Tribolium castaneum: one gene and its partners. The protein of the gene in region 1 binds, or shares a complex with, the protein of each later gene. Links are inferred from orthologs where the notes say so. Each region holds a gene or a part of one and is shown on either strand. Other genes may lie near its edges.

Region 1 (4,100 bases):
CGACAGAACGATATTATTGTACATGGGCCTCCGCACATCAATGGGGCAGTTTTGGATAACGTCGTCCACGATCTGGGACAGCGGGATGGTGAAGTCTGGGTTGGAAAATTCGGGATGAAAGAAAATCTCTGGTCCCAGGAACCTCTCGTAGCCGACGTCCACGCTGAAAGGCTGTTTGGTAACCGAGTTCATCCCCTCGTATTTTTTCATCCATTTGGCCGGGTCTGCGTCGTATTTCGCAAACTCCTTTGCGATGTCGGGGCAAATGTAGCAGTGGCGTTCTTTGATCGCTTTGGCGGTTTCGAGGGACTGCTCGGGGGGGATGCCGATTTCGCGCTCGCGGAGAAGCGACTGGATGAAGTAGGTGATGTTGCGACCGGCGATGGGAATGTGTTTGATACAACTACCGATAACATAGCCTTCGGCCTAAAAGTTCAATCTAATTATTAACAATCTTAATAAAAAATATTGCTAAATAATTAAGAATAAGAAAAGACGAGTCTAGAATTTTACCATATATTTTCATTGTGGCATTAATAACAAAGGGAAGAAGCTCATCATCACACGTAAACCCATATTTATTTATTTTATCCAAGAAAAATAGTTTTTGAATGCATAAGAATTTTTTATTCACGTGTCAATTTTTTTCAATTTTCCACAAAGTTATTTCTTTAGGTAAATGTTAATTGTACTATTACTAAGTCGATGATGATTAAAGCAACAAAGTTGACTCTACTTTCGTTAGGTTTAAGTACAGTAAAAGTTCTAGGCCTTTTATAAGAATTTTCATCTGCCAATTTTTTTCTTGACGTAGCTATTTTTTGAGCAACTGAGTCGTCGATATAGCGTTCTGCTACTGTAGAAAATTTCAACCCCTCGGTGTATTTTATCTGACAAAAGTGGCTGAAAACAGCTTATTCTGACCGTTTTTATGCAAATTGGTTAATAAACCGTTGTTTCCGACTAGAATAAACCATTTTTAGCCTTTTCTATGCAAGTTTTCTCGTTTTTAAGCAAGAAACTGTACAAAATGGTGCGTTTTATTTATTCAAAATGGAGCATAAACCGTACTTTCAAAGACTCTCTACGAAAGTTTTATTGTTTTTAAACAAAGAATCGTCAAAAACCAAAGATTTTTACTTAAACTGGTGTCCAAATGGTTTGGGGTCAGAATAAAGAGACTTCAAGCTTCACATTTCACATTTTCGAGCAAAAAACCGTCTAAATTCAACTAATTAAAAAAAATGTTCAATTCTGCGTTTTGAGCCAGTTACTAACTATTGAAGGAATTCTGCAACTGATTTTGCCATTTTAGGGCAAAAAATTGGCCGAAATTATGTGTTTTTCCTCTAAATCGGTGTTCAAATCGTTGTTTTCTTCGATAGAAAATTGTTTGGTACTTTACGTATCCATATTGTCCACAGCATTGTGAATAAACTGTTGTAGACATATTCTGTTACTCAAGGTCGAGTTGTATAATCCTGATTTACTTAATTTATACTAGAGTTTATACAACTCGACCTAAGGCCTGGTGTACAGAAGGAGAATTAAAATTTAGTTAAGGTTTGGTGCTAATTGGAATAAAATTTTCATTGTATTAACAAAAAAATGGCAATGTCACAAGTTAAAATTTTATTGCAATTAAATGATCTCTAAACCTGCCCCATGTATGGTGCTCACATGAAAACATTTCCTAATGAAACTGTTCCAAATGTTCGTATTTATTTTTTAAAAACTTATTCAAAGTTTATAATACTCAAAATTAGAAAATCAGACAAAATTTGTGTTCTATTTTAGTTTTTTAAACGTTTTAAAAAATACTCCATGTGTAAAAGTAATAAAGATTCAGAAAACTATTAGATCTGATCTAAAAGTGTCACTAAAAGCAAGAGAGTAACATTGGTTGTTTTTCTGACTCAATCATTCTCTATTAAGAAAAAATGTGTTTAAAATACGGAATCATATTTTTACCACTGGAATAACGTGTGTGACACCGTCTCCACTGTCGATGACGATGCCTGTAAGAGTTCTTTCTTCGATACTGCGGCCAACCCAACTGGCCGCTAAAGCTAAGACAGCTTGCACAGCAATATATAAGCCAGGTACATTGAACGATTCAAACATAATTTCGGCTGTATATTCCCTATTTTCGGGGGTGTTCAATGGTGGTTCAGTCAATAAGAAGTAGTGATCTTCCGGTTCGGCTCGCAGGTATTTAAAAATACACTGCTCTAGAAACCTTTCCATCAAATCCCAATCCTCCACTAACCCATGGCGAACAGGATACTTGAAAAACAAGTCGTTTAAGTGAGATTAAAAGGCAAGAAACCGCTTTACTTTGACTGCATATCCGGTAGCGTCGAAGGCTTCATCGCCTATAAAGAAATCTAAATCTTCAACACCTTTGCACAGTCTTCGACTGGATTGATCGCCGACTTTGGCGGTTTCTTTTATTGCTATAGCGGAGGGTATTATAAATTGTGGTTCTTTATTATTGGCGAAGCCTAATTTGGTGTAACTGGAAATTAGGGAAGTTGTTAATGTTGCAAAAAGTTTGGTTATGAGTGGACGTACCCTGTGCCGACGTCGATAACACAAGCTGGTAACCTCCCAGTCATATTGACTATTATGTGTTAATAAAAAATAACAGGCAATTTGGAAAGGAATTTACTGTTTGGCCGAGGAAATGAAATAAAAACCACACCTTTGAATATGATAAATGACAGTTTTTCAATCACTATCATAAACCAAACACACTCATCGGGAGGACAAACCGCACCTCCCGGGTGGTACAACTGCGCAAGACCTATCCTAATTTCATAAAGTGTATTGTTGGTTATCTATATTAAACATTTTTTTAATACATTTTAAAAATCCCCGTTTTAAAAGTTTTGTTTGCCGTCATTATTCACCACAAAAGAGTGGTATAAGTTACTCAATAATTATTATTCATTAATGTGGAATAATGAGCCTTATATGTAAGCAACGTATCTTTTTTTTCAAATAAACCAATCTTTTTGAAAATCTTTTTTTCTGCTAAAAAGTCCAAACTGTATCAGGGGTATAACATATTTTTTGTGCTGAAGCTGATAGATGAATTTGTCTCAATTATCCGAAGCACATAAAGCGCCTATACTCCGAATAATATAAGTATAGGTACTATTTTTTCTCCTCTATAAAAAAATTTAATAAGTCATTCAGAAAAACATTACATTTTGTGTCAGAAAATTGTGATTCCTGGTCCGGGAATTGCAATGACAATCACACGACAATATCAAAAGTAAAGAGAACACAAAAAAATTAAAAAAAATTATATTGTCTTAAAGCAAAAATACAAAATTTAGGTAGACACTTTCGAAAAAAATTAAAGAAAAACACTAGAAAACAAATGTAGTCTTTTGGTACAAAACTTTCGTCAAGTCAAGATCTGGATTTGCATAGGATAAATTAATTTGGAAGACTTATTTTGTGTTAGTAGACAACAACGGTAAAACGATAAAACCGCATGTTTGAACTGCGTTCCAAACGCATAGATTTGTGTGTTTATGGGCAGCTGTTCTTATAAAAAAATAAGAGAAAAATTTTAAAATTAGGTTGATCGATTTATCATTTTTACAGTTACTTTTATTTTTTGTGACGATTTTTTTATTTTTCAAGCGAAGATATTTAGATATTTTACATATCCTTAAGTATTTGAGCTTTTTGCCCTTGGTTATAGGTCTTTAGTAAGTGCACTAATTGTAAGAACATTAAACAATAGAACTATATAACAGGTACTATGCATATGAACAATCTAATGAATATAAATATTTTGAGTCAGGTGTAGCTCAAAATTTTAATTTTAAATTAAATCTTGATTTCATAATGAGTTATAAATCCGACTAAAATGTAAATTGCAAAATATTCTGCATACAAGTGAATCTGTCGAGACAAGAACAAGAAAATTCAAAATGCAAAAAGATTTATTGAAAATGTTACACCTAGCCACCTGCTAAGTCAAAGTTTTTGACTACCAATTTACTTATGCAATAAAAGTTTTTTATATTTAATTTGAAGACAGTGATCTTGCTACACAGACAAGGTAACCGTGACCGCGACCT
Region 2 (2,604 bases), on another chromosome or scaffold:
AATTTCTTAAAAAATAAGCTAATAAATCTGAGTTATGTCTAAAATGACAGTGTAAGGAACTTGGGTAATGGAACAACTGCGCTCTCTAGCGTCTTTAACGGAACTAACGAAGATGGGAACGTTTTATTTGTACGTCGTTCCGTCTCCTAACCTTTAGACAACCGTTGTATTAGTCCTTAGACATCACTCGATTTTTTTTTATTGAGAAGTCTTTTTGTACAAAACTTAAGAAAAATTAACGTTTTTTGCCTATTTAGAATAATTTCGGTCGTTTTTGAGCCGAAAAATTGTGTAATTAATTAAAGAGAAAGCGAAAAAAATTAAAAAAAAATCAGCGACTTTCGCGAGGCGCCTCTGCTTTAATGAGCCTCTTATCACTGAATTTCAAGATTGTTGTGTCCCCCGAACGGCATCCGGATTAAAGGTCTGTATGGGCGTTCCATGCGATAATGTATCACATATCATTCACAAACCGCGTGAAAACAAACCAAACACAACAATAAAAAAAAATGGTTTATTAATACAATACAGAATCAAATAATTAAAAAATTGGCAAATTCATTGTCCCGGCCCTGAGAGCGACTTATCCATGAACTTCTTTTTGGCAAAACACAGCCACCATTTACTCGGCTTCCCGTCCTCCCCAAAGACCCGATCGACGACCCGCAGCCCCACTTCCTGCCTCAACTGGGTTAAGTACGCCCTCAGGAACTCAGCATCGGCGGGCGACTTCGCCTTACTATACACCGAATTCAGGGGAAACCCTGGATCCCCCGGGATATCAAACCGGGAAATGGCCAAAGTGTACATCTCATTCTGGCCCTGGTTGCGGTTCGCACACCTTTGCAGTTTTTTGAGACACTCGGTAATGTACAGGGTGATGTAAATCAACAAACGGTCGGCCTCCGACTGAAAAGGGCGTTTTTGTGCCGATTGTCACAAGTGGGGCTCACCTTGATCTCATAAGTGCGGAAAAAAACATTGGCCTTGAAGTAATAAAGCGCCTCGTCTATGATATCCTGGTCGCCGGGTTGCCCCCCAAATGGGGGCGCTGGCCCCCGAAATTGTGTTTTAAACGGCAAAATGGCAGTGTTACCGACCGATTGTTGGTGCTCCAAAAACGCCGAATGGTACGCCTGAAACCACAAATCACACCAAACGGCACACAAGGGGGCTATCAAACGCACCGGCATGGTTTTTCCACAGAAATTTCACCAAACCTCCCAGATTAGTCACGTCGGTAATGCAGAACACTGCCACAATGTATGAACACTAGGGCCCCAAAACCCCCACTTAAACGGGCAAGAGCCCCACAAAATCGCACTTTTGGTAAAAAAACACACAAAAACACCGGTTTTGGGCGAAAAACGCCACTTTTGGGTCACAACACAACCTCACTTATTGCATGGTGGTAACACTGGTCGTTACCTAACCTAATTTTTTGCGTTTGTTTTTTGTAAAAATGCGGTACGCGCAGCTAGTTATTGGCCCCGCGGGCAGTGGCAAGGTAATTATTTGTTATTGTAGCACAATTTGGCTAATTTAATTGTTAGTCGACGTATTGTTCGGCTTTGGTGCAACACGCAGTCGACGCAAAACGCACCATAGAAGTGGTAAATTTGGACCCAGCGGCCGAACACTTCGACTACGAGCCACGTGCCGACATCCGCGAGTTAATCCACGTGCAGGACACCATGGAGGACGAAGAGTTGCACTTTGGCCCCAACGGGGGGCTTGTCTTTTGCCTGGAGTACCTGCTGGAGAACTCCGACTGGTTGCGAGACAAGTTGGGGGAGGAGGAGGACGATTATATTTTGTTTGACTGTCCGGGTCAAATCGAACTATACACGCACTTAACAGCTATGAAAAAATTAGTCAAGTTGTTACAAGACTGGAATTTTAATATTTGTAGTATTTTTTTGGTGGACGTTCAGTTTATGACAGACGGGGCCAAGTTTTTGTCGGGCACCATGGCTGCACTCAGTGTCATGGTTAATTTAGAGCTGCCTCATGTGAATTTGTTGTCGAAAATGGATTTGTTGAGCAAGGGGGCGCGCAAGCGCCTCGATAGGTTCCTCGAGCCTGATTCGCATGCCATTCTGGGGGATATTGAGTTAAGTGGCATGAATGCCTTCAATGAGAAATACAAAAAATTGTCTGAAGCCATAGGGGATTTAATTGAGAATTATTCCCTAGTCAGGTTTTTCCCCCTCAATTTGAAAAACCACGAAAGTGTGAGTGACATTTTGGTGACCATTGACAACGTGATACAGTATGGCGAGGATCAGGACGTCAGGACACGTGATTTCGAGGAACAGGACGACGAATAAAATTCCCTAGAGTGTTTATTCCAATTTATACTTTTTTTTATATAAAACAATAACACAAAATACTAAACTAAACCTACTTTTCTATCGGTTTTTATTCCTCTTAAAGCAACCTATACGATAAAAAAGGTACACGTGGATGAGACTTAAACTTAAAAAAATCACAAGTTATTTACAAACCGCCGAATTCGTTCAATTGCACAAAAAGTAGGAAAAGTGAAGTAGTTAAGTCATGTAAGTAGGAGTTATCACAGAAAAAGAATTTGTTCCTTCGTTT
Region 3 (4,188 bases), on another chromosome or scaffold:
TAACGGTGAATAATAAAAAATGTGGAATTGTAGGGTTAGGTTTATTGTCAGTCTCAGGCGAGAAATTCGCTACTGTAGAATCTGTAACGCACGAAAATGATTAATAAAATTACAAATAAAATTGTGCGTGTTTGCTGCTCCCACCCAATTATTGATACTCTCAATACAGTCTTTTGAAATTCCTTTAATAATTTAAAATAATAGGAATTTCGCGTTAGTAGCAAGTCATCCAAAATGACTGCTTGAGTTGGCCATCCTGGCTTAATAAAGTTCAATCAAGTGTCGCCACACGTTTTCGAGTTGGTAAAAAAATGATACACAGACTTTAAAATAACATTTTATTTTCTATTATTGAATTAAACAGTGTCTTGCTCTGTTAATGTAATATAAAAATGAAATGAGCATGAAGAATGCGTCCAATTGCCTACAGAAATCCGAAAATATTGCAACCTGCTATAGAAATTGACGATTCATTTATTACCTATTAAACTATGTTAAGTTATACAATTTATTTGGCGGTTCAAGTTCTCAATAGTAAAAAGGATCGTTCCGAATCAAAATGATAACAACAAGCGGATACATAGTAAAAAACCTAAAACACGTCTCGCAAACTGGGTAAAAAATATGTAATTAAACTTTGTATTAGAAATATATAATTCACAATATTGATGTGCTTACCCATATTTCAAAGGAAGCACATGGTTAAAAGATTGAATCTATGTACACAAGTAGCTGAAAAATCAGCACTTCTATTAACTGAACTGTAGCATTCAGTACTGAATGAACCAATTGATTGACTTAATAAATAAACTGCAAGAGAGGCTGTGCAAGAACTGACTGATGGGAAAATTGAATGAAACAGTTAAGTTTAATAAATTGTCGGCAGTTATTAGTCCTTTTTTGAGCTGATCTTACAAGCAAAGTTCACTAGTACTATACACATCAATCCCGTCGAACGAAAGTTCTCCCTCTGTAACAAATCAATCAATTAAATTATGATACGGATGTCTAAAAGTTAGGATACGAAACGACGTACAAATAAAACGCTCCGTTCTCGATAGTTCCGTCAGTGTCGCCAGAGAGCGCAGTTGTTCCTTGGTTATGTTAGTAAAACAAAAAATACAGACAGATGAAGCATTAAATTCTCAACATAAGCAAAATTTATCGTAAACTGTAATTAAAAAAATGTCAAACTTTTACCAATTTGCACTCCCCCATATTTTTCAAAACGGTGCGAATACGGTTGAAGATACAAAAAAAGTGTAAGGAAGAAAGTTGTAGAGAATTGAATTTGCTAAAAAAAAGTCCGCGAGACCATATCCATATCTTCAACCATTTTGGCCCCAAAGTGGTCCAAAGACGCTCAAGCGACGGATTTGTTTCATTTTACCGGTTGCCAAGTATCGGAGAGTTAATTTATAGCTAAACCGTTAAAGATAGAAATATGGTATCGCGGACTTTTTTGTAGGAAATTTAATTCTCTACAACTTTGTTCCTTACACTTTTTTTGTATCTTCAACCGTATTCGCAGCGTACGCAAAAATATGAGAAAAAACCCTGTGATTTTGTACTTCGTTTCGTCTCCTAATAAGTTGTTAAAAAAGCAAAAAGACGTACGTTATAGTTTTCTTATCTGTCGACTTGTTCTCCGGCCTGGCCCTGTTCAGGACCTTGAGGAAATCGGACGTCTTGGCCCTCATCCGACTGTGAATGTAGGCCTTGGAGCATTTGATGTGATAATGTAGATAATGGCGAAACATGTGAATTAAATCTATTGTGTTGTCCCTCGTGGTCCTTGCCGTGTGTCTCGGGAACAGGACAAAAGTGACGTACCCCACGTTGTTATCGACCTTCGCGTCGGTGTTCTGGAGCTCCCGGGGGGGCTCCCGGTGGCTGAAGAGCACGGGGGGCGCCGTGTGCGACGCCCTGAGCCCCTCCTTGAGCTCCTGCATGAACACCTTCCCGATGACCACGTCGTCTTCGTCCCGAAAACGCGTGGAAAAGACGACGGTGACTCGGTCCGCCTTCGCCTCAACGTACATTGTTTCGTCATCGCGGTAGTGAATCACCGCACGTTTCTGTCCCTCGTCTCCGTTTTCTTGAAAATCGAAGTATTTCTCAAACACTGAAGCGAAGCAGTTGCGCTTCAAAAGCCCGATTTTTTTGATGACTTGGGGCCAATCAGTCGGGATGTTCTCAAGGTCGAATAGGATCGAAACGTTGTAGCCGTCTTCAGGGGCGGCCAGAAGGGGGCCGTACTCGCGCTTGAGGAGCTGGTCGGCGCCGTGCTCTTGCAGTTCTTTGTAGAATTTGAGGGAAATGCTTATCTGGAATGGGGCGCTTATGTGGGGTTACTCGGGGGTGGGCTTACCCTAATTTTGGTTTTGTCTCCGTTTAGGTTTGAAATGTGGTACAAAACACCGTCGAAGTCCGATACTGTTATGTCGATTGACTCGTTTTTTAACCTGGAAAGATAGGCTGGTTTCAATGGTTTGGGAGATTTTCCTTGTGAGCCGAGTTTAGATAATGCTGGTGATAAAGTTGCGCCTGAATTTGGCGATAAAAGCCTCACCCCGAAACTACCGGTCGGTTTTTTAATGTAAATAAGGGACTTACCCGGCTTGGGCACTTTTTATCTTCACGGTTAATGTCTCTTCAACTACCCGATTGTTTGTCTCAAGCAAAATCATTTTAAATGATTGGGAATTGTGGTTTTTAACTAAAAAAATACATTTACTAGGTCTGACTGCTCATGGGAGGTGCTGTGGCTGACTGTCTGTCTGTCAACTGGCATTTACTGGGTCGGTAAGTTAGTAGGTCTGTCGCTTAAACAGAGCGCCAAACTTAAATAAAATACTTGGTCCAGTGAATTCTGCGACACATTATTTCACGTTTTATACCTGTTTTTTGCAAGGTTAAAAATTTTGAAATTTTTTGCTTAAAATTTGAGTAGTTATCTTCACAAAAATAAAAAAAAAATTTTTTAAATCACTCCAGCAAATTTTTATGGACTTCTACATGTCTTAACAACCCACAAAAGTTGTTAAAAGTCCACAAAAAGTCCAAATGTTCTTTTTTTTGATGTTTGATTTTTTCAATTTTCGTCGCAGTTTTTGTCGGTTTTGGGTACCCGGAACATTTCTCGAGCAATAGCTCCGGAACTATTAGAGATAACTCTATGAAGTGTCCCATCGTTGGAAAGCTCTTTAAATTATCTATTTTTTTCAAAAAAGATTATTGTTCTCCGACTAATAGTTTTCGAGCAAATTGCTGCTAAATGCAAAAATTGGTAAAATTTTTAAAAATTCATAACTAAAAAACTATTGGGAATTTGGCAATTTTCTCGATGCCAATCGATTCCCCGGATCATTTTGCATAGGTATGGATCAAAAAACTTCCACTTTTTGGAATAGTTTAGTAGTAAATAAAAAAATAAAAAAAATTAAAAAAAAGTTAACACCCCCCCCTTAAAATCGGTCAATTTTTAAAGTGTCTCAAAATCAAATAAAACCTATTTTATCTTATAGATTTTGATGTGCTCTTTACAATGGAACAAACCGTTTTCTTCTAGCTCTTTTAGTTTGGCCGTAATCGGCGTTTGAAAATTGAAAATTTTATTGCGAGATATCGCCTTAAGTCCTATGCCATTTTGTAGAGTTTTTTATTCCGGTTATCCTTCATTTTTCCGTTTCTCGATATCTTTAATAGTTTCGTCGTAATTGGCGATTGAAAATTGAAAAAAAGTGAAAATGAAAACCTTTTTTTGCGTTTTTCTCGGAAACTGTAAGACCTAGAGCAACGAACAAAAAACCATCTAATAGCGCGTAATTTTATCTATTTTTTCGACCAAACCCGGAGCCTCTCCGGGCAACGGTTCCGGCTACAGAGGCGATCAAAGTTTTTCACTAAAAAAATTCATAAAAAAAAAACTAAAAGTCGTAGAGCATTGCGGTTTGTTCGATTGAATTCTACGGCTCATTTTACATATTATATCAATTTTTCACAAGAATTAAAAATTTAAAATTTTTTGCCTAAATTTAGGGTAGCCATTTGTCATAGTGAAAAATTTTTTTCATTAAAAAAATTCATAACTCGAAAACTAAAAGTCGTAGAGCAGTGCGGTTTGTTCCATTGGATACAGAGGCTTTTTTTCTCTATTATAGTAATTTTTCACACAATTTAAAATTT
Region 4 (2,416 bases), on another chromosome or scaffold:
AAAGTTTACTGAAAAACTTAGTAAAATTGACAAATTCCTTATTATGAAAAAGTAATAACATTATATAATTATGGTCAACATATTTTTAACATGTTTTGTCTTGATGTTTAACAGTTTTGTGACTAGGATATTAATTATAAGTTATAACTTATAACCTTTTTAACCTTAATCGTACCTAATTGCCATGTCAGTATTTTGATTTTTTATTAATAATTGTAAGTAAAGTATCAATATATAACAAATGTTCATTACAAAAAAAAAACTAGAGTGCTGTGAAATTAAAAAATAATTGTTTTGTGATTAATTCATTCTCCCATAAACTTACTTTTTGGAAATTAAAAATATAACAGATGTTCATAAAAGTTAATATTATTCATAAAAAATGTCGGAAATGTCTTTTTTGTTGTTCAAAACATAACACATAGCCTTTGAAGACTATTTATGAATCTTGGGTTATAAATTCTATTGAGCTGGTTTAGTAGGCAACCAACAATATAATGGAAAAATTGTACTACGACATCCGTAAAAATGTCAAGGCAGAAAGATAACAGAGTTAGTAATTAATTGCTGTTATATTGTTTTTTTTTTTTTATTTTTTAGCCTAATGATGTTTATTATATAAACGAAACGTTGCAACTCGTTGATTTATTTAAAACTTTTTAAGGAAAAAATTTCAAATTTTGCGTTCACGCGTTCAGAGATCTCAGTACAGTTTATCCTTAATACCAAGCATCTCTGCTTAGCATTTATAATATTTTATTTAAAAGATGACTATTATTTACCTAGCAGTTTATTATTATCAAAAATCAAAACGCCTGTGAATTATGCAACCAACAATACAAACGCCACTAGTCCACTACTACTAAAAACTTATTTAATGTCGAAAAACGAACATTATGACTACAATACCGAAAACAATTCAATACCAAACATCCAAAAATTATGTTTTTCCCCCCAATTAAAGTTTCACTTACCGGTTACTTCGTTCAAACTCATGCCAGGCTCGCCCGGATTTACGTTGATGTAGTCGCCTTTCGACGTGCTTTTTAAGCGGTTTTGCCCACATGCTCGCAGGAAAATCGAGGGGCGACCTGAGACTGTTATGAAACCAAATTGAGGTTATGTCGTTCGACACAAAAAAACCGAACGCAAAACAACGAAAACACAAACCCGGCAGTAGCTACGTACCTGATCTACTCAGACTGTACAATTTAAGGGCCCCGGACATGTTTTTGATTGTTTTTTTCGAAATTAAAGCAACTTTTTTGACATTACGCACCTTACGTCAATGTCAAAATCGCTGCGCCATCTGGCGGATAATAATTTGTGTTGACAAATTGACAATTGTATGTCAGAGAGGTGTGGTGTTATCACTGTTATCAGTCGTAATTTTGCTCAAAAAAGCGGTAATGTCGGCGACGCTACGGCCCTACTTAACGGCGGTGCGGCACACCTTAACGGCCGCCATGTGCCTGGAGAACTTCTCCTCCCAGGTGGTGGAAAGGCACAACAAGCCGGAGGTTGAGGTTAGGTCCAGTAAGGAGCTGCTGTTGACTCCCGTCGTGATCTCGCGCAACGAGAAGGAAAAGGTGTTCATAGAGACGTCAGTGAACTCGGTCCGTATCAGTATAGCCGTGAAACAAGCGGACGAAATCGAGAAAATCCTCTGCAAGAAGTTCATGCGGTTTATGATGATGAGGGCGGAGAATTTCGTGGTTTTGCGGCGGAAGCCCATCGAGGGCTACGATATTAGCTTCCTGATTACGAATTTCCACACGGAGCAGATGTACAAACATAAGTTGGTCGATTTTGTGATTCATTTCATGGAGGAAATTGATAAAGAAGTGTCGGAAATGAAGTTGGCGGTGAATGCGAGGGCTCGAATAGTTTCGGAGGAGTTTTTGAAGAGGTTTTGAGGAGAGCGAGAGTGGACATGTGTACATAAGTTCTAGGTTTATCCAGCAGGAAGATTTATTTATTCCTAATTTCAAATACGAATTCTATTTTTACTTATTATATTGTTTCGCCAATAAATCGATCATTTTATTAAGAAAAATGTTTTTTTGTTGTTTGGACCACTGGGTCACTGGTACTACCAACCTCGAACACGAAAAACACCAAAGCCAATTTGGGGGCATTTCAGATAAAGCGTCCAATTAAGCAATAAATAATAAAATATATAAAATGAAGCTTTATATACTTATGAAAAATTCACTGTTCTTTTTAACTCTGAAATCGGATTCAAAATTTGATTTTTTAGTGTAGAAAGCCGGAAGTGAAATTTCAAATCAGAATTTCAGTAACTTGGACTTTTTTTTCAAAAAAAATAGCTGAAAGTAAATAGATTAAACACATAAGTGGCAAAATAGGATCTCTATTCCTTTAGGAGTACGTAATGTTCACAAAAGCGCGTTAT

The links. The genes of interacting proteins can lie anywhere in the genome.
Region 2: Arp3 (region 1) and actin-related protein 2/3 complex subunit 3-B share a complex: the UniProt entries of both Caenorhabditis elegans proteins name them as parts of the arp2/3 complex. The link is inferred for Tribolium castaneum from reciprocal best matches to the Caenorhabditis elegans genes arx-1 and arx-5.
Region 3: Arp3 (region 1) and Arpc2 share a complex: the UniProt entries of both Caenorhabditis elegans proteins name them as parts of the arp2/3 complex. The link is inferred for Tribolium castaneum from reciprocal best matches to the Caenorhabditis elegans genes arx-1 and arx-4.
Region 4: Arp3 (region 1) and Arpc4 share a complex: the UniProt entries of both Caenorhabditis elegans proteins name them as parts of the arp2/3 complex. The link is inferred for Tribolium castaneum from reciprocal best matches to the Caenorhabditis elegans genes arx-1 and arx-6.

The regions. Positions count from the first base shown.
Region 1 is NC_087394.1:30,789,615-30,793,714, reverse strand, and holds the start of Arp3 (actin-related protein 3), read right to left. Parts: upstream 2,801-4,100; 5' UTR 2,619-2,800; coding exon 2,575-2,618; intron 2,519-2,574; coding exon 2,338-2,518; intron 2,287-2,337; coding exon 1,972-2,286; intron 427-1,971; coding exon 1-426. UniProt on the Caenorhabditis elegans protein: Functions as ATP-binding component of the Arp2/3 complex which is involved in regulation of actin polymerization and together with an activating nucleation-promoting factor (NPF) mediates the formation of branched actin networks.
Region 2 is NC_087401.1:15,949,768-15,952,371, forward strand, and holds actin-related protein 2/3 complex subunit 3-B, read right to left. Parts: upstream 1,329-2,604; 5' UTR 1,194-1,328; coding exon 1,188-1,193; intron 1,137-1,187; coding exon 954-1,136; intron 910-953; coding exon 559-909; 3' UTR 501-558; downstream 1-500. Other genes in the region: GPN-loop GTPase 3, read left to right, coding at 1,463-1,507, 1,554-2,330. UniProt on the Caenorhabditis elegans protein: Functions as a component of the Arp2/3 complex which is involved in regulation of actin polymerization and together with an activating nucleation-promoting factor (NPF) mediates the formation of branched actin networks.
Region 3 is NC_087399.1:3,469,734-3,473,921, forward strand, and holds Arpc2 (probable actin-related protein 2/3 complex subunit 2), read right to left. Parts: upstream 2,801-4,188; 5' UTR 2,691-2,800; coding exon 2,617-2,690; intron 2,466-2,616; coding exon 2,372-2,465; intron 2,328-2,371; coding exon 1,618-2,327; intron 971-1,617; coding exon 943-970; 3' UTR 325-942; downstream 1-324. UniProt on the Caenorhabditis elegans protein: Functions as actin-binding component of the Arp2/3 complex which is involved in regulation of actin polymerization and together with an activating nucleation-promoting factor (NPF) mediates the formation of branched actin networks.
Region 4 is NC_087401.1:12,843,790-12,846,205, reverse strand, and holds Arpc4 (actin-related protein 2/3 complex subunit 4), read left to right. Parts: upstream 1-1,409; coding exon 1,410-1,916; downstream 1,917-2,416. Other genes in the region: ND-23 (NADH:ubiquinone reductase 23kD subunit), read right to left, coding at 975-1,097, 1,189-1,228. UniProt on the Caenorhabditis elegans protein: Functions as actin-binding component of the Arp2/3 complex which is involved in regulation of actin polymerization and together with an activating nucleation-promoting factor (NPF) mediates the formation of branched actin networks.